Linked DNA regions of Rhinolophus ferrumequinum. The protein of the gene in region 3 interacts with the protein of the main gene of each other region in a pairwise test. Links are inferred from orthologs where the notes say so. Each region holds a gene or a part of one and is shown on either strand. Other genes may lie near its edges.

Region 1 (7,264 bases), on a different chromosome or scaffold from region 3:
TTGAACATCCAGACGGCAGGGAGGACGTGCAGAAGCTACCTGCTTGGCTTGTGGGACAGGCTCTACCAGGAGGCTGCTTGTGCATCTCAGGCGGATTGGTACCTGGCCTGATGCTACATTTTGTGCAGCTCGGGTCAAGATCAAATGACATGGCACAGTGGTTTCCTCACTATGTCTGAGACATGCATGGCTGGCGCCAAGTCCTCCACCCAGGGGTGTTAATGTGGTAGAGATTGCCCTTCCCCTCCTGCCCACGGGTGGCTGGGCCGCTGGTGTATACCAATCTTCATACCTCTCACCCTGTAGTGGGTTGTGGCCCTTTGCCAGGGTAGAGTGGCAAAGTGGGCTGCCTTCTCCAGGACAACACCCTGACCCCACCTAACTAAAGTGCTGGCATCAGGCTGTGCAGTTGAGAGGTAGTTTTACTGTAAACAAGAGTCCTTCCTCAGCATCCGCCATCTTTTCCTGGCCCCTGATCTTGTGCCTTCTTTTGCCTTGGTTTTAAGGTATTCTTAGGGCCTCACCTGGAGGAGGCCCCGCCAGGGGGCTGAGAGAAGCCAAATGATTCTGCCTTTGCGTCCTCTATCTGTAGCATGCAGATCTAGGAGCAGTGATGAGTTTTCCTCATCAGGCCTCGAGCTTTCTTGTCAGTTTCCAAAGGCTGCCCCAGAGGCTGTTTTCAGCGTGGCCCACCAACGGCTCACCTCTCTGCCCGTGACATGCATGGCAGCGGGATGGGTTCCTTACGGGCCCTGTATCCATGCTGGCCCATCTTTCAGGACGAAGCTGTGGAGTGGGAGACCCCTGACCTTTCTCAGGCTGAGACTGAGCAGAAGATCAAGGAGTACAATGGCCAGGTCAACAGCAACCTCTTCATGAGCTTGGTGAGTTGACAGCCCAGGCAGGGGGTGGGGAGAGGCAGGAACCCCAGTTGTGTGCCTGATGTCCAGAGGGTCACAGCTGAGGTATTCTTGGGGGGCCCAAGCAGTGATTTATTCACACCCAGCCTAGCCCCAAGTGGACCGGCGGTACCCAAATCTGTTCCCTCTCACCAGGAACCTTGTCATGGTTTGGTTTCTCTTTAGAACAAGGACGGCTCCTACACAGGCTTCATTAAGGTTCAACTGAAGTTGGTGCGCCCTGTCTCAGTACCCTCCAGCAAGAAGCCACCCACCCTGCAGGATGCCCGGCGGGGCCCAGGGCGGGGCACAGCTGTGAGGCGCCGCACCTCCTTCTACCTGCCCAAGGATGCGGTCAAGCACCTCCATGTGTTGTCACGCACGCGGGCACGAGAGGTCATCGAGGCTTTGCTGCGCAAGTTCTTGGTGGTGGATGACCCCCGCAAGTTTGCGCTCTTTGAGCGAGCTGAGCGTCATGGCCAAGGTGGGCTTCCCACCCCACCCCACCCCACCGTGTGTGAGGGTATATATGCATGCAGCTGTGTATGAAGGGGCTGGGCCTGACTAATCATACACTTCCTTTCCCCTCCCGGCCTGCAGTGTACCTCCGGAAGCTGTCAGATGATGAGCAACCCCTGCGGCTGCGGCTCCTTGCAGGGCCCAGTGAGAAGACCCTAAGCTTTGTCCTGAAGGAGAATGACTCTGGGGAAGTGAATGTGAGTACACAGCCCTCCTTTGTTTCTTGGTTGTCACTGGGCAGGGCTGGTGGGTTGCAGCTACAGTAAGTCTCGGAGGACGAATAGGGCTGGAGGACAAGCCCTGCGAAGCCTCTGCAGGACTGTGTGAGTCTTGTGGCTAATGTGAAGGTTTCTTAGCCACTCGTGTCAAGGTCTAGGGCCTCTTCCAAGAAGCCAGGAAGTATCTTAGTGCTCTGCAACTTTCCTGTTGTGGAAAGTTCTTAGGAGATGCAGGAGTCCATCTGATGGTATGGTGATCCCAGTTTAAATCAAAGCTACACAAGTGAGGCGGCCAGTTAGCTCATCTGGTTAGAGTGCGGTGCTCTTACCAAGGTTGCTGGTTTGATCCCCACATGGGCCACTGTGAGCTGCGCCCTCCACAACTAAATGGAAATAACTACTTGACTGGGAACTGATGGGTGCTGGAAAAACACACTTAAATAAATAAAAGTTTAAAAAAAAAAACAAAAAAAAGCTACACAAGTGGACCCAGGATGTCATGGAGGGTCCCCTTCAGGCATTAGGACTTTTCAACTGGAAGTTTTCTGGCTCAAAGGTATTGGGTCTGTGGAGTGGGATTAGACTCAAAGTATAGGCATGACCTGTCCACGGGTAACTGGGAACATCTGGTTTGGTTGCCTGTCCACGAGACAACTGCCCTACTTTGTAGGACCCATCTTCCATAGAGACTTGGTGGGAATCCTAGCACAGACCAGTCAGGCAAGAACCTGACATTAGAAAGCCCCATCCTAGCTGTGTGACGATGCTCTGGTCTTCTCTGAGGAGGGCCTGCTAGCTTAACTATGCCTGCTGCAGCTAGTGTCACCCCTCTCCCCTGCAGTGGGATGCCTTCAGCATGCCTGAGCTACACAACTTCCTGCGCATCCTGCAGCGGGAGGAAGAGGAACACCTCCGCCAGATCCTGAAGAAGTACTCTTACTGCCGCCAGAAGATCCAGGAGGCCCTGCACGCCTGCCCCTTAGGATGACCTCTTGTTACCCCTAGGTGGAAGGGGGAGAGTAGGCAGCACCAAGGGCATGCTGTGTGAGTGTGACAGGGCCATGTGGCCTGAGGAGTGAGTGTGCGTGGAAGCCCTCTCTTGCTGGGGGAATGAGCCCAGAAAACAGTGAAGGAACTGGTTCCCTGTGTCCACCGGTGGGTGTAGCAGAGCATGGCTCTGTCCCCTTTTGCCCTTCATGTTGTGGGTCATGGTGGGCCAGGGTTGCCCTGGGAAGCTGCTCTAGGCTTGCAGCAAGGGAAGAGCAGACAGAAGTTTCCTTAATTGGTGTCTCAGATACAAGAATCTTGGAGACCCTACCACCAGGGTCGTGTTTACAGCGATGAGGGTCCTCCTCTTTGGGGAAAGGTTGTATGTTTTAGGTCTTCGATGGGGTCTCAGGACAGCCTAATCAGAGCCAAGGATGGGTGTTCAAGATAAGGCAGGCATCAAAGAAGTGTCTAGGTTTCCCTCTATGATGCCCTCTGACTCCACACACACCCTGGGGTCAGCCAATGCTATCTCAAGGTATAGCAACAGTGCCTCAGTGCCTTCTTCAAGGAGGATGTCCCTGGGCCAGGGTCTGTGTGAGTGTCGGCATTGGCCCAGGTCCGTGCCTTGTTTGCCAGTCAAAGCCAAGGTCTTTACTTTGGGTATTTTTGATGATGCGTGTGAATGTATGTAACATTTTGTGGTCTCAGCTGAATGCCTCCTGTGGGGAAGGGGGTGGGGGTGACAATCATCATCAGGACCTGGGCCTGAGAAAATTTGGCTGAATAAAGACGTAAGAAGCTCCCGCTGTTGGACTGTTTTATTATGGGCCCTAAGCCCCAGTTGTGCCTTATGCCAGTAGCTGCCAAGGGTGATGAACAGGCTCACAGCACCTTTTCAAGGTCACCGTGAGACCAGTTTGTGAAGGATGTGGGGTACAGACATGTACTCAGTCATCAGTCAGCACCCTGGGGCTCAGGTCTTGGTGTGGCCAAGAATATCAGCTGTAGCTAGAGATTAGGGAAACCACACACCCTGCAAGCTGTAGGAGGCGCTTCACTAAATATTTATTGAGCTACTACTGTAGACACTGCTCATGACGCTAAAGGTACACCTGTTACTTCTTGCCATCATGAAGCATACCTTCTGGTGGGTTTGCGGAGGACCCTGAGATTGAAATTCTTCAGCCTTGAATGTAAGCTATATGAAATTTGGCCAAGTCCTTCATTTTCGTTAGGTTTGGCTTCCTCCCCACACGCGACAGTAGTGATCGAAAAAACGGTATGGGAATAGAATGAGACCAGACGGGCACCGCGCAGCCTGGCCTGGGGTCAGGTCCCAAAGTGCTGGTTTGGGGGAACCCGGGTGTTTGGGCAGGCCCGCTGCACCTGACCTATGGGGGACCGGGACGTTGGAGCCGCCGCACATGCCCAGGAAGCCACTAGGAGTAGCCACTGCTTTCCTAGGTGGGAGTTACCCCAGCTGGAGAGAGCGTGGCCTGCCGGGACCTGACGTCTCCCAGTGCGTGCCGGGATGCCTAGCGTCCGAGGTCGGCTATTGGTCGCACTCAGTGGACCGACGAGAGGAGCAGCCAATCAGAAAGAGTGGCATGCGGAGCGTACGGAAGCGGAAATGAAGTTTCCGTGGAGACAGCGGAGCCTGCGGAAGACGGCGGCATCGGCACCTGCGAGCGGAGGCCCAGGCTGGGCATGGCGGCGCCGACGGCCCTGTGAGAACGAAGCGGCCGCGGGGTCCGCCATGCGCCGGCGCCCCTGACATGGGCGCCAGCGGCTCCAAAGCTCGGGGCCTGTGGCCCTTCGCCTCGGCGGCGGGGGGTGGCGGCCCGGAGGCGGCGGTCTCTGAGCAAGCTTTGGTGCGTCCGCGAGGCCGAGTCGTGCCCCCCTTCGTATTCACGCGCCGCGGGTAAGGGCGCGGGCTCCGCCCGGGGGAGGACAAGCGGGCGGCCAGGCGCCCCACATGATGGGTAGCTCCCACCGCTGTATTCCCTGTACCCGAGCTAGGGTGACTCCCATATTTCGGGCCTTCATTGGAGCCAAGGGATGGGAAAAGCCGGGCAGTCGGTTCCCGGCGGCCTGGCTGCTGTTAAGGTGTCCCTAGAAGAAGAATGGGCCTGTAGCTTGTCCCTGGGCAAGTAGCTTTACGCATGGCAAACCTAAGGGCCTCTTGGGACGTCAGGATGGCTTCCTTTCATCCCTTCAGCCTAGCCTGCAAGTTAACGGCTCCTGGCCTCCCTCCTAATCTTGAGGGGAGAATGACCCTTTGTTTTGGCTGCTTCGGTCACCCACAGTGGTGAGGTTGGACCTCTGAGGGTAGGGACCAGGAAAGTAGGACTGGGCCCTGGCGTTGGGGATGGGGCCCAGGAAAAAAAAGACCCTCACACAGGTATGTTCTCCAGATCTGGAGCACTGACTTCCCTTCTCTCCCCAGGGGTCCAGACAGGAGCACTAGTTTGACCTGGCCCTGATCATCCCCTGGGGACTGGCACTTAGGTGATGCTAGAGATTTGGCTGTAAATACTAGGGAGACCCAACAGTGGCAGTTTGGCTGCACCAGCCACCAGGGCGTGGATGGGAAGGATGCAACCTTATTTTCTTCAGGCTCCCTCCTAGCTCAGTCATGTGCTATCTCAGGCTTCGGCCCTGGGCCAGCAGTGTCTTCTGGAGAGAGACCAACATGCTCAGGTCGCCATCCTGCCCGCTCTAGAAGTCCTTGCCTGAAGTTGGAGTGGCTGTTCTTCCTGGACAGACCAGTGATGAGAACTGGCCTTGGCTGCCTGAAATAACCTCCATTCTTGGGGTCTGAGAGAGTAGCACTGGCCACCACCCCACTCCTCACTTCCTTTAGTAGACCCCAGACCCTAAGCAAGAGATTCCGCAGGAATATTATCTTCCCTTTCTCCCACCAAGGTTGTCCCTCCCCATTTGGGGGTGGGCACACTTCGCAGTGGTCTGGGGCATTTGCCATAAGCAGGTATGAGGCTCCAGCCCAGCCTGTTCCCCTCTCCTTCTGTACAGCTCCATGTTCTACGACGAGGATGGGGATCTGGCTCACGAATTCTATGAGGAGACAATCATCACCAAGAACGGGCAGAAGCGGGCCAAGCTGAGGCGGGTGCATAAGAACCTGATTCCTCAGGTGAGGGACTGGGCACTGGTCATAAAGCCTGTGTTGAGTGTGTGGAGGTATGTGACAGGAGACATGGGGAGTCTCCTGTCTCCTCCATGTGGAGGAGTGTGACAGGAGACATGGGGTCTGCTGTCATGGTGGGGGGTCGTGGGGGAGGAGCTGGGAGGAACAGGAAGGCTTCCTGGAGTAGGGGCGCTGAGATGGCCTTCACTAGCCTCTGTTTCCATGGCAGGGCATCGTGAAGCTGGATCCCCCCCGCATCCACGTGGATTTCCCTGTGATCCTCTATGAGGTGTGAGCCTGGGGGGTGGCAGGCATAAGCACCCCCTGTCTCAGCAAGAAACCCCAGGCTCAAGGTGTGGCTTCCGTTGAACCTAGGCTGAAGCCACACCCTAAATAGACTCCATTGGCCCGGAACCTACAGCTGTAAGCGGGGAAGTTGGGTGCTCTGCATTGTTGGTTTGGGTGCTGGTTTGTATGCTGACAAGTGGCTGGTGGCTGGCAAGGGCTAAGAGCAGAGTTACCAGCCCACCTTGCCCAGCAGTCCCTACAAGGAGCATGGCAGGGCATATGCTGATGGGGAATGCCTGGTTCCTGTGCCCTTGCCTGACCTGCTTTCTTCAAGCTTGCCTAGGGCCCAGCCCTGCTAGAGGCTCCAGCACTTTACAAGTAAGGTCTGCCTTCTTCCAGCCCCTGGGCTGTGGGAGCTGTAGACAAGTGGGAACTTCCTTTCCCTCACTTCCTTCACCCCTTCGTTGGAGCATTTCAGCCGTTTGCTACCTCGATTCCTCCTCTGTTGGGCAGAGGCTGGGGGCACCGCAAGCCTGATTCTTCCTGCCTACCTGCCCATGTATTTCCACCCCCAGATGGATGGACAGTTTGTTGGCTGTTAATAAGAGTGGGGACTGGTGTGGGAGGTTTCTCCCCCCACCCAGGACTGGGTTGATCCCACTGCAACTAGTTGTTGTCCCTTATTGTCACCCTCCCCCCCCACCCCCCAGTTGAGAGGGCATAGGATGGGCTCAGGAAGGGCTAAGGATGCTTGTGCCTATGGGGAGTTGCCCCAACCACCTACTCCATCTAATCCCCCTTGCCTTTGCTCCAGCCCTCTCCCCCATTGGGAGGAGACCATCCGCCACCCTGTGGTGAGGGACAGCACCCTAGGGCTGGTGCCAGTAGCTCTGAGGAGCCCACCACCCCTTCCCCTATAGTATGCCCGTCCCTTCAGGATCAGTCAAGGGAAAGTACCAGTCCCTGGGTCAAGACAGAAAGGAGAGAACAACCATAAAGGAATACTTAAAATGTGAACGTTTGTAAATAGTCTAGTTCATGATGTTGGGGCAGAATCTGATTTCTACATAGAAATGACTTTTTTTTTTTTTTTTTTTTTTTTTTTAATTCCTTACTGTGCAAGCTCTGTGCTTCAAGAGTGGAAAATCGTATGGGGAGGGTGGCCCCCAATCTAGGAAGGCTGTTGTGTTATTTGTTCAGTT
Region 2 (7,399 bases), on a different chromosome or scaffold from region 3:
CCTGTGTAGTGGATGGAATTTAAGTGTACATTTCAGCTGCTGCAATAACATCTGGATTACTGCCTCTCTAGTTATTTTCAGAATTACACATAGATTTTCTGCTGGAGCAATGTATAAAGAAATAAACTGAGAGCTCCAAGTTAATTTAACTTGGTAGAGGGTAGGATGATATATTATAGTTACTGATCATTACAGTATTAATTTGTACTTCCCATGAAACATCCTAAAAGACTTTACATTTAATAGGAACGCTACAGTATTCAAGTCTCTTGCTTCTCTGCAGAAAAAGGTCCCACTTCAGAAGTTCAAAAATAGGCCTCCACCACCCTTTGGTACCCCTAGTTCCCAGACACAGGTAAAAAATATATATGTACTCAGGGAACCAGCTCTGTGAAAGAACTACGCAAGCCTGACTTGGCTGCCTTGATCATTATCCTAGAAATCTCTAGACCAGCACAGTCCAGTAAAACTTTCTGTGATGATAGAAATGTTCTATGTTGATCAATATGGCAGTCACTAACCACCTGTGGCTAGTAAGCACTTGAAATGTAGCTAGTGGAACTGATAAATAAATTTAAAATTTTAATTTACTTAAATTTAAATGGCCATATGTGGCTAGTGGCTACCATATTGAACAGGGCAGTTCTACACAGATCATGATTTCAGCATTGGACAGGTGCCCTAAGCAGGGAAGTTAGGACTAACCTACCTTACAGGTTACAATAGTCCCGACATCTGGCAGTAACTGGGACTCTGTTTCTCTCATTACAGACACGACAGGAAGCTACAAAGAAAACAATAAAATGTGAGTATCCTGGCTAAGCCTTGGGTAAAGGTATTCGTGGCTTGAGAATAATATAGAAATTCCTTAGTTGAAGTCATGAGGGCAGGTGGAATACAGATACATTTGTAGCCTAGAGCAGAAGCCTAGACATTTTAGGAAATAGGAAGGCCAAGGGGCCACAGGAAGAATGCCGCTAAAAGATATAATGTAACCATTTCAGATTAGTTCTAACAAGTTTTTGGTGATTTTCTTGGAATTTATTGGTACATAATTATATGGCCTATAATCGTGGATAAATTTGACTCTTTTCTCCAGGTATACCGCTTCTTTCTGTTTCTCATTTTATTGTATAGGCTAGAATTTCTAAATAAATGTTATGTAATAGTGGCCATACTTGTTTACTTCTAGTTTAAGGGAATACTTGTAGTTTTCTCTTTGAGCACGGCATTGACTATTGGAATAAGATAGATAGTATTTCTGAACCTCATCTTTTATTAATCTCGTCCTTGTTCACTATGCTTCAGCTCTCCTGGCCTTCTTTCAGTTTCATCAACTCACTAAGTTTCTTTCCATCTCAGGATGTCTGTTCAACCTGTTCTTTCCGCCAGTACTAAGTCCTCCCACCCACCCAACTCTTACGTATTCTTTAGATTCTGGTTAAATGTCACTTCCAGTGACTAGGGTGGGTTTGCTTATGATGACGTTCTCATGGTATCCTGTCGTATTCTTTTAAAGCAGTCATCGCATTTGAACACTTATTTGTTTACAATTTACCTGTGCCCCTTGACAGCAGAGATCATGTATATTTGGCTCATTACCATCCCCTTAGAGGTCACTACTGAGAGTGGCACATGAACATGCTCAACAGATACCTGTATCTATGAAATGAACAAACTGAGGAAGGTCAAGGACATTCCCAAAATTGACTGAATAAAAAGCCTCTCATTTTACAGATGAGGAACAACGGAAACCCAGAGAGTTTGTTTCTTACATAAAGTAGAATCAAGGTTTAGTTAGCCAGCACCTAAGAGTGTTCTAATTCTGAATCCTCTTTCTACTATGTTACCTGTCTTTAAGCTGTTCCTTCGAAGTCTGCTTATCTGATCTTGAGTTAATCCTAGACCAGCCTCCAGCACAAGGATAGTTTTACTAACGCACTCGACAAATGTTTATTGAACAGTTACCTTGTGGTACTCTCTGAGTTATGGTGGTAAGGCCTGCTTTCATGGATCTTGAGTTTAGTAGGAGAAAAGTCTAATGGGGAACTGAGTGTTTAATTATATGCTGAGATAAGTGCTTGGAAGGAAAGGAATACAATTCTTTGTGTTTAACAAAACACACAGTAAACAAAAACCAAAACTCCTTTCCTCAGCTAGTGGACAGGTGTCCTAAGCAGGGAAGTCTAGGAGGGCTCCTCTGAGAAAGTGAGACTTAGAGAGGCTATCTGAAAGATAGGTAGGGATTAAATAGGCTAAGGAGGAGAGAGGAGCGTGTTCCAGACAGATGGCGTTCCTATAAAGGTTCTGTGGCAGGAGAGAGCTTAGTGCGTTAGCGACACTGAAAGAAGCCTCTATGACTGACTAGACTAGATTGCAGTGAGGTGGGAATATGGATGAAGCCAGATAGGTAGGTGACATTCGGGCAGGATTCAGCAGCTCACGGCAGGGCTGCGCCCACCTCTGCTCTTCCCTCAACTTCCTCTCCTGAGTGTCAGGAACACAACCAAGAGTGACCAACACAACTAACTGGGCTGCGCTAAGTGTCCAGCAGCAGGGACCACAGCTGGAAGAAACTTAGAGACCAACTCTTCTACTGGTGAAGCTCTAAAGACGCGTCCGCGGAGCCGCTGCATAAGGACTGCGAAATCAAGGGCAACCTAAGGGAAAAGCAGAGACAGAGGAGGTGGGAAGCCGCCTTTACCGCGCCATTCTCGCTGCTTTTCGTCATGCAGCCAGCAAGCGACGAAAAGATGTAGCCGTGCCGGGTGTAGGTGCCGCTGCCTGGGCTGGCCTCCTCCAAGTTACAGAGCCGTTCGCCTGCAGAAAAAACGCTGCATCAGCCACGTGTGCCCAGAATCTGTTGGCCATCCAGCCTTCCTTCCTCTGTCCCTATCCAAGATTCACAATGGGCACCCCTCACTTACCGGGGATGCAGTACCTCACGGGTGGCGCCATGACTATCGCTGCCCCAAACCCCGAGAGAAACGAAGCCGACTTCTCATTGGCCCAAATCCAGTTCCTCAGTAAGAAACGCACCAATTGGTGCTCTTGTCACGTGATCTCCGGGAAGGCCTTCTCGAGGGGTGAACTACATTTCCCAGATCGTCCCGGGCCGAGTCCGGGGGAGGAGCTCCGGGAACGCGTGCGCTTGCGCTTGTGGTTGAGGATGGTCTGGCGGCGGGTCCGGGTCCGCAGGCTGGCTCTGTGGGCGGCGGGCCATGGTTGATTGGATTGAGCCGGGCTGTCCTGGGGCGCGGAGCTGGAGGGGGTGGCAGTGAGCAGAGGCTGCGGGCTGGATTTGGCTGATTGGGGAGTCGGCAGGCGGCAGGTAAGAGCGAAGCCGCGGCCTTTGCTCCCCAGTCCTGTCCCTTTTTCTAGGGTCGGGCCCTGTTCCGGGGCCTTATCGTGAGCCCGGCTTCCTGCTGTCTCCTCGCCTAGCCCTGCACGTCCGTGCCCTTTTCGTGCCCTCCGGGCAGCCGTAACGCGCCAAGTTGAAAGGCCGACCAGCCCACGTCGCCCATTTCACAGATTTACAAACTTAGATCCAGAAATAGGATTTGAATTATCCAGTGTCTCGAAGATAGTTTAAGGTAGAGCACAAACCGGAACCCACATTTTTTGACTTCCAGTCCATCACACTTTAACCATACCACCCTCATTGAGAAATAAAACCATGCCCCGGTTTTTGTAACTGCAGTTTCCGATCTTACAGTCGTATCCTTTCAAGAGTCGTGTGGGCCATTCCTTAACTTTTTCTCATCCCAGCGTGTTAGTCCGAAAGGGAAGTCTGCACATGAATAAAGTGTTGCTGTTACTGATGGTTGACAGTACTGCTGGAGATTGCAAACGTCCTGAGCGCAGCATCTTTGTCCAGATGAGAGGTGTCACGGCTTTCATCAGTTTCCTCTGCCGTCTGGTGGCTTTGGAATCTGTTTTTCCCTGTGTAAGCCGCCATCCTCCAATCCCATTTCCCCTTGGGAAACAGATGGTGACTTAGAGCCTTGAGAAGAGGAGTGCGCCATGGCCTGCAATCCCCTCTAATCTGGTGGCAGATGTCCCTATGGCCTGTGGTTACTACTGAGGGGTCAGAGTGCTCAGGGCTTGTACTTGGGGTGATAGTGAAGCTGTGCTTTGCTCTTTTTCCTTCCCTGGTCACTCTGGTCATCCACCCCTCACCATCCCCTTCACAATTTGTCAAGTTCTGCTTTAACTGAGTTTCCTGAGATGAAAACTCCGTATGTTCAGTTGTGACCCCGTGGACTACAATACATATCTCTTCCCTGGCTTCCCCAAACCCCACTAACTAAAATGAGTGGGGGGCTTGGCTTGAGACTTTATTCATTCAAATCTGATATGTAGCTCTACATCTACAAGTTTACATGTTTGGGTTGATTTTTAGTTGGATAGACTTGTTTTCTAAAATGCCTTCTAGCTCTTAAGTGCTATGATTCTAAAAATGAAGACTAATAGCAGCAGACACTTATTTAATGTTATCACATTGGCAGGAATGCCCTTGCTGTTATTTATAGGACAGGTAGACATCTGACAAGCCTGTCCACTTCTGCATCCCAGGTCATTCATTCAACAAGTATTTATTGAGCATGCCCATGAGCCGGGTATCATGCTAAGCTCTTTACGAACATTTCATTTATACGTTACCAAGTGTGTATATGGAATCATAAAGGGTTAGACTTGGAAGGGACCTTAGCGTTTACTTCTATCTGCTCACTGAATGGTAACACAAGGAAATTGAGTTCCAGCAGGATTTGGTGATTTGTCCAAGGTCACAGAACCACTTAAGGGCAGAAGTGAACCCTAAGTCAAGTTATGGGGCAGGCGAGAGTTGGTAAGTCTAGTCCTTGAGGCAGGCATTTCCTGTGAAGATTCTGGAGATGATTGAAAACAATCCAAAGAGTGGAGAATCTGAGGAGGAAATTTTTTTTGTTTTTTTTTGTAGACAGAAGAGATGACATATAATTCGTGTTTATTGTAGGTGAGGGATATATCTTATTTGCAAGCTATTGCTATAAAAAGTATTTAGCAAATAGGAAACTCGCCATTAGCCATAGTAAGGGACAATCTAAGTCATTTGGACTTGTTGTGGTGTAAAATATTTTGTCCCACTTTTAAACATTTGATTATGGTGGCCATATATACTATTTCAAAAATTCATATTTTCAGCCAAATCATGGTTCCAAACAATAGGAGTCCTAACTCAAAGGAGGTAGGAAGATTGAGTTTTCATTTTCCATCTTCTTCATTGCTTCTTAATTCTCTAGCCCCTAGGAGGTGATATGGGAATGGCCAGTTTCTTTATCCTCGTGTAGAGAGTAGGTCCCTACTGAATTGCCTTTCTTCTCTTTCTCTGCTGGCCTTGTCTGCTGGATTTCTTTTTCCCTTAGGTCGTTACAGGGTTTGTGGAAGGAGGTAATTAACTGTCTTTGAAAGGCCTCTTGTGGTGATGAGCCAGGATGCAAGGCGAGTACTTTGCTCCAGTTACTGCACTGAAACCATCCTACAGTGCAGCCGCCTCCTCCAGTTTCTGCTGGGTTTTGAGCTGCCTGTTAAATAAGTCAGTGGAGTTGCTGAGGACAGTACTCTTCGTAGGGGAAAATCAGATGAGTTCTTTTCTAGTAAGGACTTTAATCTGCAGAATGAGGAGACAGTCATGGAAGGAATCTGTCTTCTCTTGTGGGCATTGCCTGGGCACTGGCCTCCCACGGCTGTTGGCTGAGGTAGAAACCACATGGAAGAGATGAAGGCACTTGCAGAGGAGCCATACAAAGGGCTAAAGAGCTGGGAAGGCTGGTTGGGAAGCTTGGGGCCAAGAGCAGCAGCGGCAGAGGCGGCTCTTGAGTGTAGCTAGAACAGGGTGGGGGCGACTCAACTGCAAGGGCAGGCCTTGTGGTTTTCATGAGCCACCAGCATGGAGTCCTCCTCCCCCCGCCACTTCCCCTACCACCAGTATTTTCCTGTCAGTGGTGTTATTCTGCTATGAATACCCAAAGTTGTCTTGGCTTCTGTAGCCTTGGGGTAGGGCTAGGAATGGAATTGAGACAAAGCATCTTACGTCGTGCGAGGCGTAGTTGAGCTGTCCTGACAGGACATACTACCAGGTTGGGTCTGTAATGTCAGCCCAGAGAGAGTAGGAAGGATGAGTATATTTTGCCAAGACTCAGTACCAGGGAAGAGTGAAGTGCAGGGTCCACACGCTGTGTAGCGCCCCCTTTCCCCCACGCTGTTCCTGAACGAAGAGCAATTGTTAGGAAGTAGGTCGAAGGGCCGGGACAGGTGAGGGCCCTGGGAAACCCCTGCTGCACTGGCCATACCCACAGAGACACAGGGGGCAGTGTTGTGTACATTGGCTGTACTCCACCCAGTGGGCCGTCTACACAGACAACTCCAGAGACCCTGCTTTGGCTTGGAGCTGCCTACCTGTCCTTCGCCTGTTTATTGTGGCCCTTTACTCTAGGTGTGCACTGTCTGGGATTTGCTGTGCAACCACACGGTGTAATGTAAGTATGATTTCTGCCTGCTCAGAACCTGCACACCCTACTCCCTGTCATCTGGTTGGGACACTGGCACCATACATTCCGTAGAGAGGTGAAGTGACTGTCCTACTTCCCACAGCTGGTGACTGGCCCAGCCAGGCCTCAGTCTGAGGTCTTTGCCTCTAAGCTGGTGCTCAGGCTCTCCCCATCGGTGGAATAGGGAGGGACGGCACCCAGGCTGGCCACCCACAATGGTGTGCTCTCCTAGGAGCCATGCAGGGCCAGCGGAGCCTGCTGCTGGGCCCCGCCCGCCTCTGCCTGCGCCTGCTTCTGCTACTGGGCTCCCGGCGCCGCTGTCCCCCTCTGCTCCGGGACCTGGTGCGGCGCTGGCGCTATGGCAAGGTCTGCCTGCGCTCCCTGCTCTACAACTCCTTCGGGGGCAGCGACACCGCTGTCGATGCTGCCTTTGAGCCCATCTACTGGCTGGTGGACAACGTGATCCGCTGGTGTGGAGTGGTGAGTGACGCTCCGGAAGAGGCCTGTTTGGGGGCGGCAGAGGGACCTGTGTCTGAGGGACCCGCAGCAGCCCCCACTGCAGGGACATCCTGAGTTGCTCTGGGTGTTGGCAGGCTCTCCCTGCATCTCCCCCCTCCCTGGTATTGGCAGGTGTTCGTGGTGCTGGTGATCGTGCTGACCAGCTCCATTGTGGCCATCGCCTACCTGTGTATCCTGCCCCTCATCCTCCGCACCTACTCAGTGCCACGGCTCTGCTGGCATTTCTTCTATAGTCACTGGAATCTGATCCTCATCGTCTTCCATTACTACCAGGCCATCACCACTCCACCTGGATATCCACCCCAGGTGGGTCCCCACAGGGGCTGGGGCAGGGAAAGGGCTGCAGGCCC
Region 3 (7,849 bases):
AAAGAAAATGGAAAGATTCCTTTTTCAGCCGATCTCATTTCCAGCCGATCTCATTTCTCTTGCACTGTATCATAAGTATCTAAAAGAAACCATTCAACCCTTTCAACATTGTATCCAAATAGCTACTTAGCCAGATCCACATGTTCATTATGTATTTTTTCTGTATCTTTCATGTAACAACAGGCTAATTTAGCTAGTTGTTCTTCTAATGTATAAATGGTGTTCCCCTTTCTCCATCCTATAATAACAATACTTTCACTCTTCTTTGATAATGTTCTTCACTAGCAGATTACTCAAAATTCTCCCAGCTTCTATCCTCCACCTGATTCCAAAGACACTGCCACTTACTTTGGGTTTCTGTGTGTCGTGCGGAGGACTCTGCTCGCTGAGCCATTTGTCTGGCGAGGTGGCCTGCGGGGTCCCTGGTTCCGCTCCCCACATAAGAATGCAGGATATGGCTAGGCCAAAAAGGAACACCCACGGAGCCACAGATAGGGGAGTCATACCGCTATAGTCTCACTGGAGGCTGGATCCACGCGACCTGCAACCTGCTGTCTGCTTCTCTGCCTGCCAACCAACAGACTGACCAACCAGTGCAGCCACAGCAGTTATATCAGTGGCTAATTGGTTAACTGGTTACAGCTGATGGTCAATTAGCCACAGCTGATGGCCATCTACTACCTGGGCCAGCACCTTTCCCGTGAGGCTGAGAGCCTGGAAACTGCTCTCTGGGACTCTGTCCCCACACTGTGACAGCAGGACCTTACCTCTAGGTACATAATTATGTTTCAGTTATCTATTGCTGTATAACAAACCAACCTAGAACTTAGTGTTTCAAAACAACAGCATTCACTTTTTTTGCTAACAATTTTGCAATTTGGGCAGGAGTCAGTGAAGACAGCTCATCTTGCTTTCATGTGGCGTCAGCTGGGGCTAAGCGATTATCCACTTCCAAGATAACTCACTCACAAGGCTGGCAATTGGTACCGGCTGTCCACTAAGAGCTCAGCTGGGGCTATAATCCTCTTCCCTGTGAGCCTGTCCATGTGGCTGCGTAGGCTTCCATGAGTACTTGGAGGGAAGTGATTGAATCTCAGAACTATTTAGGAGGTAAAGATCAGAAGACTGTCTTAAATTATGTCTTAAATGACTGGTCTTAAATTATGTCTTAAATGTACAACAATGTGAATATACTGTAAGCTACTGACTGTATACTCAAAAATGGTTCAGGTGGTCAATACTATGTTGTGTGTGTTTTTAGCCACAATTGAAAAATAATAAATAAACTCAGGGGATGATGGTGATGGCCTGGAGGTGGGTGGGGGTGGGTGAAAGAGAAAGAAATGTTATGGATGACAAAAACCAATAAAACACAGTCTCTGGCCTGAAAAACTTGTTTGGTCCAGCAGAGGATGCAGAACAGATAACAGTCACAACACATGTGGTAGACACTGCAGCTTTCTGCTGCAGTGCTAACATAGGTACAAAGACCATGCCCAAAATAGGCCTTTAATATCTGTAATGACCTGTCATTTAAGACATAATTCTAGGTTCGAATTTCTTAAAGCACACCTCAAAATGAACATAGCCAGAGAAATAGAGATGAGTAATAAAAACTATAGGTGCATACAATATTTCCCTAGCAATATAGCATGTAACCTGGTAGGCCAGAAGCAGCGTTGTAGGGTGGTGGGCAGGAAAGAAAGCAGATGTTTCTTGGTCATTAGCCCTATTTTTCTAGGATATAAAATCCCTTTGTTGTCTTACAAGTCTTAGTGCGTCTGGAAACTATTGCTACTGAGATCTCACTTTTGAAACTTTCTTTCTTTGAAGTAGTAAACAGGTCATAAAGATCATTTATATCCGAAATGAATGTACATGGCCCTCTCCCCCCCCACACTCAAACTTTCCCCATACTCACAAGATTTTATAAATAGCCAAATACACAGATTTTCATTGAGTTTTGTTGGCAACATGACTCTATTGTTCTTCCATATAAGTCTAAACCATTTCTAAAGAAAAGGGCAAAATAGGAGTACCCCTTTTACTGGCATGTTACCCCATCCCTACACACTTTTCTGAAGACACCTTGAATTTCATTCACCATTGACTATATAGTTTAGGTCTCCCTGCTTTGTTGTCAACTGCATGTGTCAGTTGACTGGCTCAGTTGTGGTTTGGGGCCCTCGTGCTGAGTCGTGTGATTTTATTTTTTATTTCTTGAAATCTCATCGATTGTCCTTTTCTGCACAGGCTGTCGTCTATCTAGGGTCTCCTCTCTGCAAAATAATGACTAATGACCACTCCATGAATCTGCCTCATGCCCCATGTGATGGCTCTCCATGCCTCCACTAATTCAGTCCCTCCTGCCAGGTCTTGGAAGGATCTGATAATGTCATTTAAGCCTCAGAATCAAAACTGATAAAACAATGTCTTCATTCATTCACAAATCATTGTTGAGTGCCTACTATGCATTAGGCAGTATCTAGATGTTGGGATCACAACAATGAACAAGTTAGACAAGGATCCTCTCATGGAACTTATTCTTGTTTTTTTTTTTTTGTTTTTTTTTTTTTTAATCTCAGAGGTGTTTGACTTTTAACAATGGACAAAATGCCAGCTTGGCTTAAAGACAAAGGAAACAGGTTCTACATTTGGAATTAAGCCACATTTCCCTGGGTGGGGGTAGGGAAGGTTCGCCCAGCATCCTGGAATCATACTTCTTCCACTGACTTATAAGAGAAGTCGGACTGGAATCATCAAGGACTAGATCAACTGTCCTTTTTCTTGGGCCCTTGCCAGGCTCCAGCAAGACAATACCTTTTTGTGCAGTGTATTCAGTTAACAGGCAAGAAAGGCCAAGGAGAGTAGAGCTAGCATTAGAGGTCAGCACAGGGGCCCAAGACCACCCCTCGCCAATGCTCGGGAAGACATTGCCCCCTCGTGGTTCCTCACACAACCCAGTGAGGAACTGGAGGTGGAAACAGTTGTCCAGGTAACTTCAATTTCAATTTCAATAGACTCTGGGTTCATTTTCACCCAGGATACACACTGTCTCCCCTATAGAAGGAAATGACATCACGACAGCAATTAAATCTCTTTATCAAAATCTTCAGACTCCCCTCATCACCAGGAAAAATCCGCTATGTAAATCCAAGTATCACTGCTGTTTTTCTCTTCCGAATGCTCTTAAAGCGGTATTTGCTTTGCTTTCCGCAATTTGAACCGGGATCTGTGATTATGTTGCCAGTGGAGTTGTTTTGGATATCCTGTCGCCACAACACCACTTTACACTCCCTGACAGCGGGAGCCTTATCTTCAATTCCCACCACCACCCTCACCCCATAGCCAGCAGCACTTAAAACGGTATAAGGGTAAAGAATGTCTAGTAGGGGTGGGGAGGGGGGAGAGATGACCAGTGGAGCAAGCAAATAATTAGAAATTGTGTTTGGTGCTGTGCTGGAAAGGAACAGCATGCTGGGAAAGAAAATTCCTGGAGGTAGGAAGTGAGGGAGAATCTACTGATGTATGGAGTTTTAAACGTAGGTGTTTGTAGTAGTCAAGTTTGAAAGCTTAAATGATACAGTATTGGAAAAGCTCTCTATGGCGCAAGAAAAATGGAAATGTCCTTAATAAGAATGTTAGCTTCCATGTGTCACACACTTAAAGTGGGTAAGAATGGGTGCTAGGTGCTATCGCTCTATCAAACTATAATCTGCTCTAATGGCAAACTCCTGGGAGATAAATATAACTACTCCCTTTTCACAGGTTCGAGGAAAGGATGCCACATGGTCCGTCCGAGGTTGGTGCCTGAACAAGCTTCGTGCGCTGACCTCCCGGAATGCTGAGTCTCTTTTAAGCAGCAGCTTTGACACTCTACAGATCAGCTCTGTTGGCCCCCGGTTCGGCTTGCAGTGAGGGGGAACATTCCCTTAGCCAACAAATATTTATCGAGTGTCTACTATATACCAGGTGGCGTATTTATAAAGCTGTGGGATTAAAAAGATAAACAGGGCACGGTCTTGTCTTCCAGGGAGGAGCTCTCAAAAGAGTCAGAAAGGCAGCCAGGTAAACATTAATTCCAGAACAGTCTGATAAGGGCTGTGACAAGAGTCTGAACTGAACAGGGGCCCGGGGGAGCCTCGCGGAGAGTAACGGCGGCGGCCGGTTCGGGGGATCGGGGGTGGGGATCGCGGTGGGAAAGGTTTTGGAGGACCCCGCGTGTGAAGTGGGCTTGAAGTTGTGCCCTGAAAACGGCGGCCCGGCTCAGGCTGCCCCCGGATGTCACTCCAGTTCTCGCATCCTGTCATTTCCAGCTGCGGACTAGGAAGGGAAGAAATAGGTGTAAACCGGTGTAGGGGTGCAAATCCCTCGTGAGAATCCCACAAACAAAAGTAGCACATCACACCTAGCGGTGGTCACACTGGCAGAGGGCCTGTCTCCTCGAAGCCCCGCTCCAAGTTCGCGAGCACCGCCACGCCAGTTCGCCAACTCCGTCCCCACACTGCCACCAGGGTAACTCGGAAGACCTGACCTTCCCTCCTTCCGCGCGGCCCTCTCCCTCGGACCTACAGCGGAGCCGGAGGCTGGGGTCTGCCGCTTCCGCCCGTGCTCCCCCCCCCCCCGCCCCGGGGCGCACGCCTTTGGGCCGCGGGGCAGCTGCCCCCGGCACAGCCCCTCCTCCCGCGGGGGCTTCGCGGTTCGCGTCTTGTCCCTCTCGGCGACAGCCTGCAGCCCACGTCCAGGGAGGGCGGAGGGAGGAGGGGGAGGGAAGAGGGGAGGGAGGAAGGCGAAAGAAAGGGCGCAGCTTGGTTGCTGGACTTCCCAGAGTGAACCAGGAGCGCGCACTCAGCCGCTCTCCGCGTCCCAGCGTCCCAGCCGCGGCCCGCGCCCCTCTGTCCCACTCCTCCTCCTCCTCCGCCGCCGCCGCCTTTCTGGGCGCCTCTCGCCCCCTCCCTTCAGCAGCGGCTAGGCTTGGGCTGCGGTCGCCCCCAACCCCTAGTCGGCCACATCCCCAACTCTCTGGGGTCACTCCTGGGACGCGCGTCCTCGCCCCATCCTTTCTTCCTTCCTTCCTTCCCCTTGCGCCCGCCCTCGCTCTCCAGGTCTCCGGCCCGGGTCCCGATTGTCTCCGGCCCCTACTCAGCCCGCGCCTCGCCCTGCCGGGTCTCTTTCTTGCACTTCCTGAGTCGCCCGCCGCCGCAGTCGCGCCGCGCCCGGGAGCCCGAACTCGAGACGCCGCTGCCCAGGCTCCAACCCGCCGCGCCCGGGGAAGGGAAAAGTGGGCGAGCGCGCCCTCGCCCAGCCCCGCGCCCCAGCCCTGCCCGGCGAGGGAGGACCGGGAAGATGAACAACGGCGTCAAAGCCGAGAAGGAGAACACCCCGAACGAGGCCAACCTTCAGGAGGAAGAGGTACTGATGGCTCGGTGCGGTGGCGGGTACGACCTGGGACGCTAACCGCGCCGGCTTTCTCCGAAGTGCGGGCGGCGGGCGGGGAGAGGCTGGCGGGATGCGGGCACTGGTCCCGGGGCACCACAGTCCAGGGGGTGGGAATTGCCGCAGACTGTGGTCCCGGGAGAGTGTATCTTCGAAGAGTGTGTTTTTGTGGGTGCGTGCCTAACATTGCGTAACTTTGAGGACTTTTCGGAAACTTTTGTAAGTATAATGCTCAGCTTTGTTTGCCCGAGATTTTAAAAGCGGAATCGAGACTGACTCCTGGGTGACCTCAGATTATTGGGACCCGGAGTATCAGGACTTAGTTCTGCGTCCGGCCCTGGAAGTTGTGGGGTGTGTTTGTGTGTGTGGTTTAAGGAAGAAGTCGGGGAAAGTTCGTCTTAAAAGATACCTTCTATTCCCTGCCCCCTCCCTTTCAGCGTTGAAAGTTCTTGGTGAAATATCTTTCCAGCTGAGGCATTTTGGATTAATAGATAACTGCTCAGCCGCATTCTTCTCTGATGAGTCAAAGACCCCGAACCTGGGTGATTAGGTTTTGTAAATGTGGGGGCGATGCGGTTGTGGGGAGCAGAGTTTAAAACTTTACAATTAACCAAATTATCCTCGAGGCAATTTTAATAGGACTTTGACTTCCGAGCGTAAATTTTATGTGGTGGGTCCCTAATAACGATAAAAATGTTGGGGCTGCCGAGCTTTCCTTTGGTGTAAACAGAATTCAGTCAGTGTAGGAGGGAAGTCCTGAACACATGTTTCAGAATCTGTAGTTAGGATATTTATCGTATCCTATAAAAGGGCTCTTTTCCTACAGGTACATGATCTGGAGTCCAAGAAACAATGTTTTTCGCCTACTTTTTTTAGATCCGACCTAGTGGAGTTCTTAAACATGCTAAAAAGAACTTTAGAATGTGTGTAAATGCAGAAAGTATGCATCTAGGTATGACCTATAAAGCATTCTTACAGGTATATCATCCTATATATAAGGCTAACAGAATGGTAAACGGATTCTAAAGTGGTTAGGATATTGAGATTATTATTGAGATAATGTTATGTGCAAACTGAAATTCTGATAGTGAAACCAAATTTTGTGGAGGATTTGATTAGTACATATAAGCCCTTAGCCCATTGTCCACTTGTAACTGGGGAAGTAAAGGAGAGAACTAAAACCACGCAAAATTAACACAAAATTTTACTCTTAACATGGATGTAGGGTAGTGCAACCTAGGTGAATTGCAGTAAGCCAAAAATTGCCTTCTCACATGAGGAAACTGCCTATTTTATTATAAACTATTATTTTGAAAAGCGTTGCTTACATGCTTGTTGTGTTGAACTACAAGTGAAGGAATACTGTTGACATTTCCTTCTTTTTCAAAGAGGGGACTTGAATTGCAAGTTCTACTTTTTTCTTGAACCTCGCTGGCTTCTTTGCTATTTATTTTTCCTGCCACTAAAATAAAATTTAAAAAATGATGACAAGTTTGCCTTTTTTTGTGAATCGCTATATTTAACAAATTCACAGAACACACCAAGGTAATAATTGCTTCAGAAGCTTTTCTATTTAAGGTAGGTTGGCAATCTGTGTACTTCAAAGGGTAAGAACATATTGTATGAAATCAGCTTTTTCTCTTCACCCAATTAAGAAAACTTGTAAATGTAAAACATTAATCAGGCAAAGTAAAGGTTTCTTTCTTTTTTTTTTCTTTTGGTAGGTAGCAAAAGAGGTTTGAGTGTCCCCAAACCATAACCTACTTAACTTGATAAAATTAAATAAAGTCACATTTTTCTGCTTAACCTTTCTCAGCCTAACTACTGCCAGTACTGAGGTGTTGTTTGCCCTGTTTCTGGTCATCTTAATGTGTGAGGTTGTGTCCAAGTAGAATCACAGGTGACCTCAGTATAGTCACTCCCTCTTACCTGTCCTGTTGTCATTACAGTGTTCCTTTTTAGGTGGGAACGGCTTGTGGCTCTAGGAAGTGTCAGTAGCTTTAGCAAGACACTTGCTATTTTAAAAACAGGTTAGGAAGATTTCAGAACCTAAGTTGTACAAAAGGTGGAGTGCGTAAAACAGATACACTATAAAGACAGAGGGTTTGTAATGTTAAAAATTCAGGAAAAGAAAGTCAGTTGGCCTGAATAATCCAGGTAATTTTGCACAAGTTCCCTGTTTTGGATTTATGTTTTGGTTTTGGAAAACTCCGAACCTCTTTTGTCTAACTCTGGAAGCCACAGGTAAAATAAATATGGTTTTTAGTGAGTCTCATTAATGTGCTCAGCATTATACAAAACCACCACACTGGACCCTTTTCCTGCCCACCCAACGATCGGCAATTTGTCCTCAAACACATCTAAAAGTCTTGGCTGAGGACTCCAGTAAACAGCACACAGACATATAAAATAT
Region 4 (7,933 bases), on a different chromosome or scaffold from region 3:
GAATTATTTCCCGGATGAATGAAGGTTAAATGATTTTAAATCGGTGAGTTTTGGCTCTTTCACATTTTCAGATTTTATTACCCATATGTTTCAGGCAATAGTAAAGACATTAAAAATGAATCCTTGAGTGTTTTAGGAGATGGGCTCCTTGCTACTTCTCAATCCTACTGTACGTGCTCAACAATAAGAGACCCAAAAGGATCTGACCACTGCTCTACACCAGAAACCTTTAAAACTTATTCTGGAGGATACTTCCGTCTTCTTACCTGTAAAATAATATTAATCCTTATGTCCTTCAAAAGAATGAACCGGGAAGTTATTTAATATCCACAGTTGTGGTCTGGAAATTATCCAGGACTATAATAAAATACAAACACTGCTAAATTAGAAAAGCATGTATCCTAGAGAAAAAAAAGAATTTTAATTAAATTTTACTTTGCAATCTATTATAATGAACAAGCCACATAACAAGTGTGTCTGTAAAGGAAGCCAATTCCTTTTTCCATGAAGCTGTATGGAATCAATTCAATTACTTTATAATCATACCTGCTCAACTCCACAGCAACAACCTAGATATATAGCTTTGCTAATGGGTGTCTCTTTGATAATATTAATTTAATTCAAAGTTTAACTAAATCATTATCTCCCATGAAATCATACCAAAACTTACAGAGAAATCTTGATGACTGATGCAGTTGCTGCTCCTGTGTTTCTTGCAAAATATATTTTGAAGACGGAGACCTTCAATTGCTTCTTACTGAAGTCTCATGGGGAACTCTTCTTTTAAATACCCAGTCTGAAAGTTCCTCTGGCTATTTCTCACCTCCTGAGAATTTTCTGAGCCCCTAGAAAAGTCCTCAACTCCTCTAAACATAAGGAGGCAGCAAATGATTTACTTAAATAAAATCCAGCAGTAGTCCCCGAATTCCCCGTTGTTTATTTGACACCTGGTCAAACACAGATCTTCACCTGCCCTTTATTTCATGACAGTTTCCCTGCTAAGCAAGGCATTTCGGAGTCCTCCTTTCCACCCCTATGTGTTGATTTCTCTTGACTCCCAGGCTCAGTGCAATCTGCTGTCAACCTTTTTGAGCTGGGAGATGCTCAGATAGTGAAGATTTCGCCACTGTTTTTCTAGCTCTGAGGTCTTCCCAAATGAGTAGCTCCCTTTGAGCGCCTGGTTTCGACGACCCTGAGTGTGTGTTGTAGGGAACAGGATGCTGGTTTGTAAAGGAAACTTGGCATTCTCTCCCATGGAGCTGTTTTCTGCCTGGACTGACCTCACAATCCTCACAATCAGGTGACCACCCTGACACCTACCTGTCAACTTGACACTGAATCTGAGCAATCAGTGGTTGGGTCTGTATATTAGCAAAATGACAGCAGAGGGCCCCCATGGTTCACTGCTTTTGAAGACATGCTGAAATAATTTGTCTTTCTGCCTTGACACTCTCCAAGCTACAGGTGGTTCCAATTTTCAACTCGTGGCAGAAACCATAAGCCAAGGAAGCAAATAAGTGTTTCCATAAACGGTAGAAAAGAAATACTCTCCTGCTACCTACCTGTGAGATGCCCAACTTGGTACTTCCATTAACTTTTGACCTTCTTTCTAAGAAACTCATAAGGAGAGGATTCAATTTTTCTAAGTTGGCTACTGAAGACTGGGGTAGCTTTTCAGCAGCAGTATGGGGTTCCATTTCTTCAATAGGCCAGTCTGGATTGGCTTTCAGAGTCCTCCCCATTATGTTATAGAGGCGCACGCGAATGGATTTCTAAGGATTCCATCCAGGTCGTTGGTTCTGCTGCTTTGGTTTCCCATGAGTACCAAGATGGTTCAAACATAAGAGCGATCACAGCTATCAGTTCTGTTACTTCACTCTAGAAACTTGTGTGTTAGCTGAAGACAGGAACATGTCCCAGCTCTGTCCAAATTAATATGGGCATTCCCTCCTTAGCATGGGGAATACGTTTCTGGAAATGGGAACGCTTAGAGATGGTGCTCCAGTGTGCAAGGTGATAGAGTTTTCTTCACATCCTCTGAAGTTATACATGACTCTGCCCCAGCCATTCGACGATTGATAAGTCCTCCCAGACTGGAGCACAGTTGGGGGACGTTTTATAATGTCAAAGAGTTTACTCCATTCCCTGATTGTTCACCTTTACCCTGTTTCCCCAAACTTGTTCCTCAAAGGTATCTCCAGTCCCTGCAAAACTCCCATGTTAACATTCAGCACAATATTCTTTCTTTATTTCTTTGTGGCAGGCATAGCACCATCACTCACACACACTTTGTTAGCCATTACATGTCAAAACTGTCTCTCAGGGCACAAACTACATCATAGAAAAACGGGTCACAGAGTAGTAAGTCCCCAGCTCCCACCCTGGTCCAGGCCACCAACGTGTCTCACCTGCATTATTGTACTTGCCTCCCAACCTGGCTCTCTGTGGCTATCCTTGCCCCTACCAGTTTTTCTCTAGAAGCAGCGAGAATGATCCTTTAAAAGTGTTAGCCAGGTCATGTCAGTTCTCCGCTCAAAATCTTCCAATGGCTTCACTTCACTAAGAGTAAAACCTGAACTTGGTTTCACTTTCTTTAGATCTGTGCTCAAATGTCACCTTAATGACGAAGCCTCCTCCAACCACCCCACATAAAAATAACAATTTCCCCATCCCCTTCTTCAAAATCCCAATTCCCCCTATCCTGCCCTGTTCCCCATCTACAGCATCTATCATCACATCACATTTACATATTTATTTACAGAATGTGTGGCAGATCACTTTTTCCAAGATGGCCACAACAAGATTTCCCATTCCACACACTTTTCTGACCATGTGATGTTTCTACCACTCCCTTTGAGAGATGTTCCCCACCTGCCTTGAATTGGGGTGAGCCTGTAACTGTGGTGGAAATGATGTTATGTGACCTCTGAGGTTAGGTCACAAAAAAACCATGCAATCTCTGCTGGGTCCTCTCGGACCACACAATCTAGGAACTCAGCCACTATGACATGAGGAAGCCCCGGCCACAATGAGATACCAACAGCCAGCTGTTCTGGCCAACAGCTCTAGCTGCAATCCAAGCCAACAGTCATCAACTTCTAGACTTTTGAGGAAGCTTTTGAGATGACTTCAGCCCCAGCTACTGCCTGAGACTCCAAGTGAGAACTGCTTAGCTTAGCCTAATCATCTCCCAGAGCCATGAGAAATAATAATAAAATTGTTTTAGTTCTAAGCCAGTAAGTTTTGGAGCCATTTATTATCTAACAATAGATATCGGAACACTTTGTTTCTGTGTTGGTGCAAAGGTAATTGCGGTTTTTGCAATTATTTTTAACCTTGTAAACCGCAATTACTTTTGCACCCGCCTAGTATATTGTATGCCTCTCCTCACTAGAGGATGTTTCATGAGTTTAGGGATTTTGTTTGTTTTCTTTATTGCTGTATTCCCAGAACATAGAACCATACCCGGTATATAGCAAGTACTCAATAAATAATTGTTGAGTGAATGGATGCAGGATGCATTTTCAGTATGGTATGTGAAAGGTTATTGGTCAACAGTGTGTGGTCCAGTCTGTTGGGCTAGGCCTCATTGGCAGAGAGCGTAAGTTGGCACTTACAGCGTGGCAAAATATATGTTCCAACAAGACTACTTCAGAGGCAAATTACATTATAATAAGTTACAATAATTATTGCAGGAAAGCATAGAATGGGATTAGAGCTTCATGTAGAATTTGTCTTCTGCTGATTGATTCCATAATCTTACCCTAGGCTTCTCCAGATCAGGTCTGGAAAGGCTTCAGAAGTATTTTCAAAAGGATTAGTGCTTCTTTCCCTTCAGATAATGAAGTTCTTCTGAGAATGACCACGGAAAATCACTCACGTTTTTGGTATGAAATGGGATGAAGTGGAATAAGAACGGATGGTGGTATGGGAACTCATGTACATGGGTGTGCAATGTGGAAGGCCCCCTTACACTGCTTATTTTCCTAGTCTGGTGGTTTGAGTGCAGTGTGTGTGTTAACAGAAGGAAGAAATATGGTTCTGGATCTCCCCAACCTCGCACCAAGTACTGGATTTAGCATTTGGATTGGAGCAAATGTTTGTGTATTGCTTAGAGAGCAACATCCTCCTCAAATAGCCAAGGAAAATATTAGCGTTTTATCATCTCGGAAGGTAAGAAAGGACACATTTTCTTAGTTTCCTGGAAAAGAGGTTAGTTTTTGTCTGGGGGAAAATAACAGGTGGATGGTCTTGAATGGACTAAGCAATTTCTTTGGGCCAACCTACCTCAGCCTTGATTGAAGCAAAAAGCACAAATGTGGAGTCTATGGTTTCTTAGAATGGAGGGTCTTAGCTGAGTCTATTCACAATGGTTTCAAAGCAGTTTTCACACAAGAATCACCCTGATAAGCAATCATGTGTGGCTTCTTTTCAGAATCCAGAAGGGTTCAGGGTAAAATGGCTTTTAAAAGTTCTTCACTTCTGGCTACTACCATAAGGCTAATTGATTGAATCTCTTGAGGAAGTGTGCCATTTTGCTGCCTTTGTTCAAATGACAGTTGTTGGTGCCATTGGGCCTCACCATCTGGCCTGTGGCATGAGGTTCCCTTCTTGATTAGGTACAAGCCTTGGGTAGAAAGTGGGGAGATGCCCAAAATTTCCCTGGAAAGTCCAGGCAAGTGAATTGGGGAATATTTTCTTTGGAAATCCCATTATTCTAACCAAAATTTAGATATGGCTTCTGAAGCTAATTATTATTTCATTTAAAAAAAAAACAAACTGTTTTTATTTATTTATTTATTTGCAGGCCCAGGCAAACTTGACTAGAAAAGAAGCCCGGGCAGGGGTTAGGATGAGCCCATGACGTCCCCGGCGCCCCAACCAATTGAAAGGCCACGAAAAGGGGAGGGCGGAAGTGACGAGCCGTATCCCTCCGCGGGGCGAGAGGGTCGGTGGGGGGAGTCGGCGTCTCTCTCCCCCGCGCCAGCTCCCGTACACGGAGCCGCATTCCTTGGCCCCCCCACCCCCCTCCCTCGGGGCCCCCCGCCCCCCTCGGGAAAAAAAAACCACCTCAAATCACTCGAACCCGAGGGAGGTTTCCTTGCACCCTCAGGGAGACGAGCTTTGAACGGTCCCCTCTTTCCCTTCTTCCCCCCAAACCCCCGTTCCCTCCCCTGCTCCCACCCCCTTCTCCCGGCGCCGGGTGTAGGTCCCTTTAAGGCGACGGCGCCTTCCTCGGGTCAGACTACCGGCGGCGACGACCACGGGAGGTGAGTGAGCGAGAGCGCCTTCTCTCTCCCCACCCCCTTCTCCCGGGGGTTCCGTTATCTTTTCGCTCGGCGAGGCGTTCCGAGGCGAGACAATGAGAGGGGGATGGGGCGGCTACGCGAGGGGTGGGGGCGGGGGCCGGTAGCGCGCGCCCCCGCCCCCCTGTGAGTGGCGGCGCGGCCCGCGGCGGCGGGCGTGGGGTGCGGCGCGCGAGCGCGTGTGTGAGTGCGTGTGCCCCGCGAGCCGCGAGAGCCGCGCGGCGGACCGGGCCGCGGAGGCCCCTGCCTGCCTGCCTGCCGGCGCCCCCGCCCCCCGGCGCCCGCCGCGGCGCGCGCGCGCGCACTCGCGCCCCACGGCCCCGCACACACCCGACGTCCACACGCACGCCCGGCGCGAGGCGTCTCGGAGGAGTGGGCGGGCGCGGGCGCGGGCGGCTACCCGCTGGGGAAGGGGCGGGGGCGCTGGCGGCGGCGAGACGGCGGGGCGCGGCGGGAGGGCCGGGCCAGGGGGCGAGGCCGCGCCGGGGAGGCGGGCGGGAGGGGCGGCGGGGTGACGTCCCCGGGGTGGGGGAGTGCTCGGCCCCCCGCGCCCCCCGCACCCCGGGGAAGGAGTGGGGCGCTCTTTTTGAGCGCGAGGAGGAAAAGGAGTGATGGCTTAGCTGCTCCCCTGTGTTATGTAATCTCCACTCGGTCCGATAGTACATCCCAAGTCTTAGTTCACTGCAGTTACTTTCCCCAGTCTCCTCCCCCGGCCCCCAAATTTCTTTGGGATGGCGCCGTGATTTATAAAATGGGATGAGGCGGAAAAAAAATCTATTTTCCGATTATTATATCCTGCCGCGGTGGGCGCCATGTTTATTCTAGGGACTATTTTCTCTGGATTCTTAGCACCTATTGAAAAGGAGTGATGTTGATCCACCTGCTTTCCCTCCTTTCTGCGAGTTGTCCTGGTGTCTTCTCCCGTTAGACGCGGGATTCCCTCCAACTGTTGATGACACGTTTCTCTGCTCACTAGTCGTGGACATTCTTTGCTCAGAAAAAGGTAGAGCTGAAGAGCCTTGTAAATCATTGAGCCCAGTCTCATTTTTGAGGTGGAAATGGAGGTACCAAATTGAGGTGGTACAATCTCAGAATAGCCTTCTACCCTATGTAGACACCTCCCCCCGGAGCTCAAAACCCCACGTAACATACCAGCTATGTTGAAGGTGTATCTCAAACTAAAGGAGCTAACAAGGATGATTCTTAGCATGAACAGAATGGAGTTTTACTCTCAGGAATTTTCACACCTAGATGCAGGGGAAAGGAGGGGCTACAGAGGGCTGTTTCTTGGTGAAGGACGTTGAATTTCAAGACATACTGCTCTTCGGTCTGGAGGTTGGACTTTGAATTCGAACCACTTAGCACAAAAGTTAATTTCGGGGTGCATAAAAAGTACCTTAGAGATTGCCAAAAAGTGCAATTTTGGGGACCGCATCCCCAAGTCTGTTTGGGTGTGATGGGGAGGGAGGTGTCACCTCTACATTTTTAATCGGCCCTCCTTCAGCTGAGACTGATTAACGTAACTACCACATAGAGAACTATTGGTGTAGCATAAAGGTACTCAAAATAGAATCTTTAAACAGAATTAAATTGCAATCTGTGCCCTTGATTTCCTGCCCCTTTCCTATATTATGGTTATAACATACCAGCTATGTTGGGGGTGTGTCTCAAAACTAAATAAACTAAGGAATGAAGACTCTTGAACAGGATTTTGGTAGTGTTTCCATTCTCAAACTAAAGGAACTAACAAGGATGATTCTTATACCACCTTGAACCAGTGGTATAATTTAGGAAAGCGGTTCTCAAAGTGTCCACTGACACCTGGGGACCCCCTCATACCCTTTCAGGGGAGCTGTGAGGACATAACAATTTTTAGAATGACACTAAGACACTATTTTCTTCGCTGACGTTTGCACTCGTGGTCCAAAAGCAACTGGCGGTGCCTTAGCATAAAGCAAAGAAGTGGTGTGAAACTTGTACTTACTTGAGAATGTCCTTGATGAAGCAGTAAAAATGATTAATTTTATTAAATCTCAGCACTCGAGTACATCTTTTTAATTTTTTAAGAATCTATGATAAATTGGGAAGTGCGGGGTTGGAAAATTAAGTTTGCGAACTTGTTGCAACAAGGTGGCTAACCTTTTTTTGATATCAGAAGGATCATTCATTATGAATTTTACACAAAAAGCACTTATACTGCCTTCCAGGGTATGATCGTTGACTTGTGAGCTGAATGTTTCATGGAACAGCATTTTTACTTGAAAGAACGATTGACAAGCTAGTTTTTTACACTTGAGTGCGTGACGGATGTTTTCTTGAAAAATTAATGAAGTGAGCTTGTTACTTCCAGGAAAACAGTTGACAGTATTTGTTACCAATGATAAAAATTTGAGGGTGAAAATTAGAATTCTTTAAAAGTTGACATCTCAAGTTTGACAGTTTCCCAGTATTTAAAACTTTTCTTATAACAGCAACGTGAATGACTGTTTTTTTTAATTATTGTATAATGATGCATGTCAACATTTGGAAGATGGGCATAGCTCAGTAAATATGTATTTTCCAAATGACCTGTGCATGATGTTTCAGAATCACCATGGGTAAAAAATCCTTTGAAAATGCAGGATACA

The links.
Region 1: the proteins of RBPMS (region 3) and TUSC2 interact in binary tests that used the Homo sapiens proteins (3 or more experiments, as listed by UniProt). The link is inferred for Rhinolophus ferrumequinum from reciprocal best matches to the Homo sapiens genes RBPMS and TUSC2.
Region 2: the proteins of RBPMS (region 3) and EXOSC1 interact in a two-hybrid assay, tested with the Homo sapiens proteins (2 studies listed by BioGRID). The link is inferred for Rhinolophus ferrumequinum from reciprocal best matches to the Homo sapiens genes RBPMS and EXOSC1.
Region 4: the proteins of RBPMS (region 3) and POGZ interact in binary tests that used the Homo sapiens proteins (3 or more experiments, as listed by UniProt). The two-hybrid records come from large-scale screens. The link is inferred for Rhinolophus ferrumequinum from reciprocal best matches to the Homo sapiens genes RBPMS and POGZ.

What each region holds. Positions count from the first base shown.
Region 1 is NC_046300.1:6,269,826-6,277,089, forward strand, and holds the start of TUSC2 (tumor suppressor candidate 2), read left to right. Parts: upstream 1-4,250; 5' UTR 4,251-4,401; coding exon 4,402-4,547; intron 4,548-5,659; coding exon 5,660-5,780; intron 5,781-6,003; coding exon 6,004-6,069; 3' UTR 6,070-7,264. Other genes in the region: RASSF1 (ras association domain-containing protein 1), read left to right, coding at 780-884, 1,086-1,383, 1,500-1,615, 2,478-2,624. UniProt on the Homo sapiens protein: May function as a tumor suppressor, inhibiting colony formation, causing G1 arrest and ultimately inducing apoptosis in homozygous 3p21.3 120-kb region-deficient cells.
Region 2 is NC_046299.1:26,347,189-26,354,587, reverse strand, and holds the start of EXOSC1 (exosome complex component CSL4), read right to left. Parts: upstream 3,014-7,399; 5' UTR 2,959-3,013; coding exon 2,928-2,958; intron 2,821-2,927; coding exon 2,705-2,820; intron 785-2,704; coding exon 710-784; intron 1-709. Other genes in the region: palmitoyltransferase ZDHHC16, read left to right, coding at 6,768-7,010, 7,161-7,355. UniProt on the Homo sapiens protein: Non-catalytic component of the RNA exosome complex which has 3'->5' exoribonuclease activity and participates in a multitude of cellular RNA processing and degradation events.
Region 3 is NC_046287.1:67,296,158-67,304,006, reverse strand, and holds the start of RBPMS (RNA-binding protein with multiple splicing), read left to right. Parts: upstream 1-4,843; 5' UTR 4,844-5,346; coding exon 5,347-5,412; intron 5,413-7,849.
Region 4 is NC_046305.1:51,432,411-51,440,343, reverse strand, and holds the start of POGZ (pogo transposable element with ZNF domain), read left to right. Parts: upstream 1-4,931; 5' UTR 4,932-5,270; intron 5,271-6,168; exon of another isoform or gene 6,169-6,309; intron 6,310-7,933. UniProt on the Homo sapiens protein: Plays a role in mitotic cell cycle progression and is involved in kinetochore assembly and mitotic sister chromatid cohesion.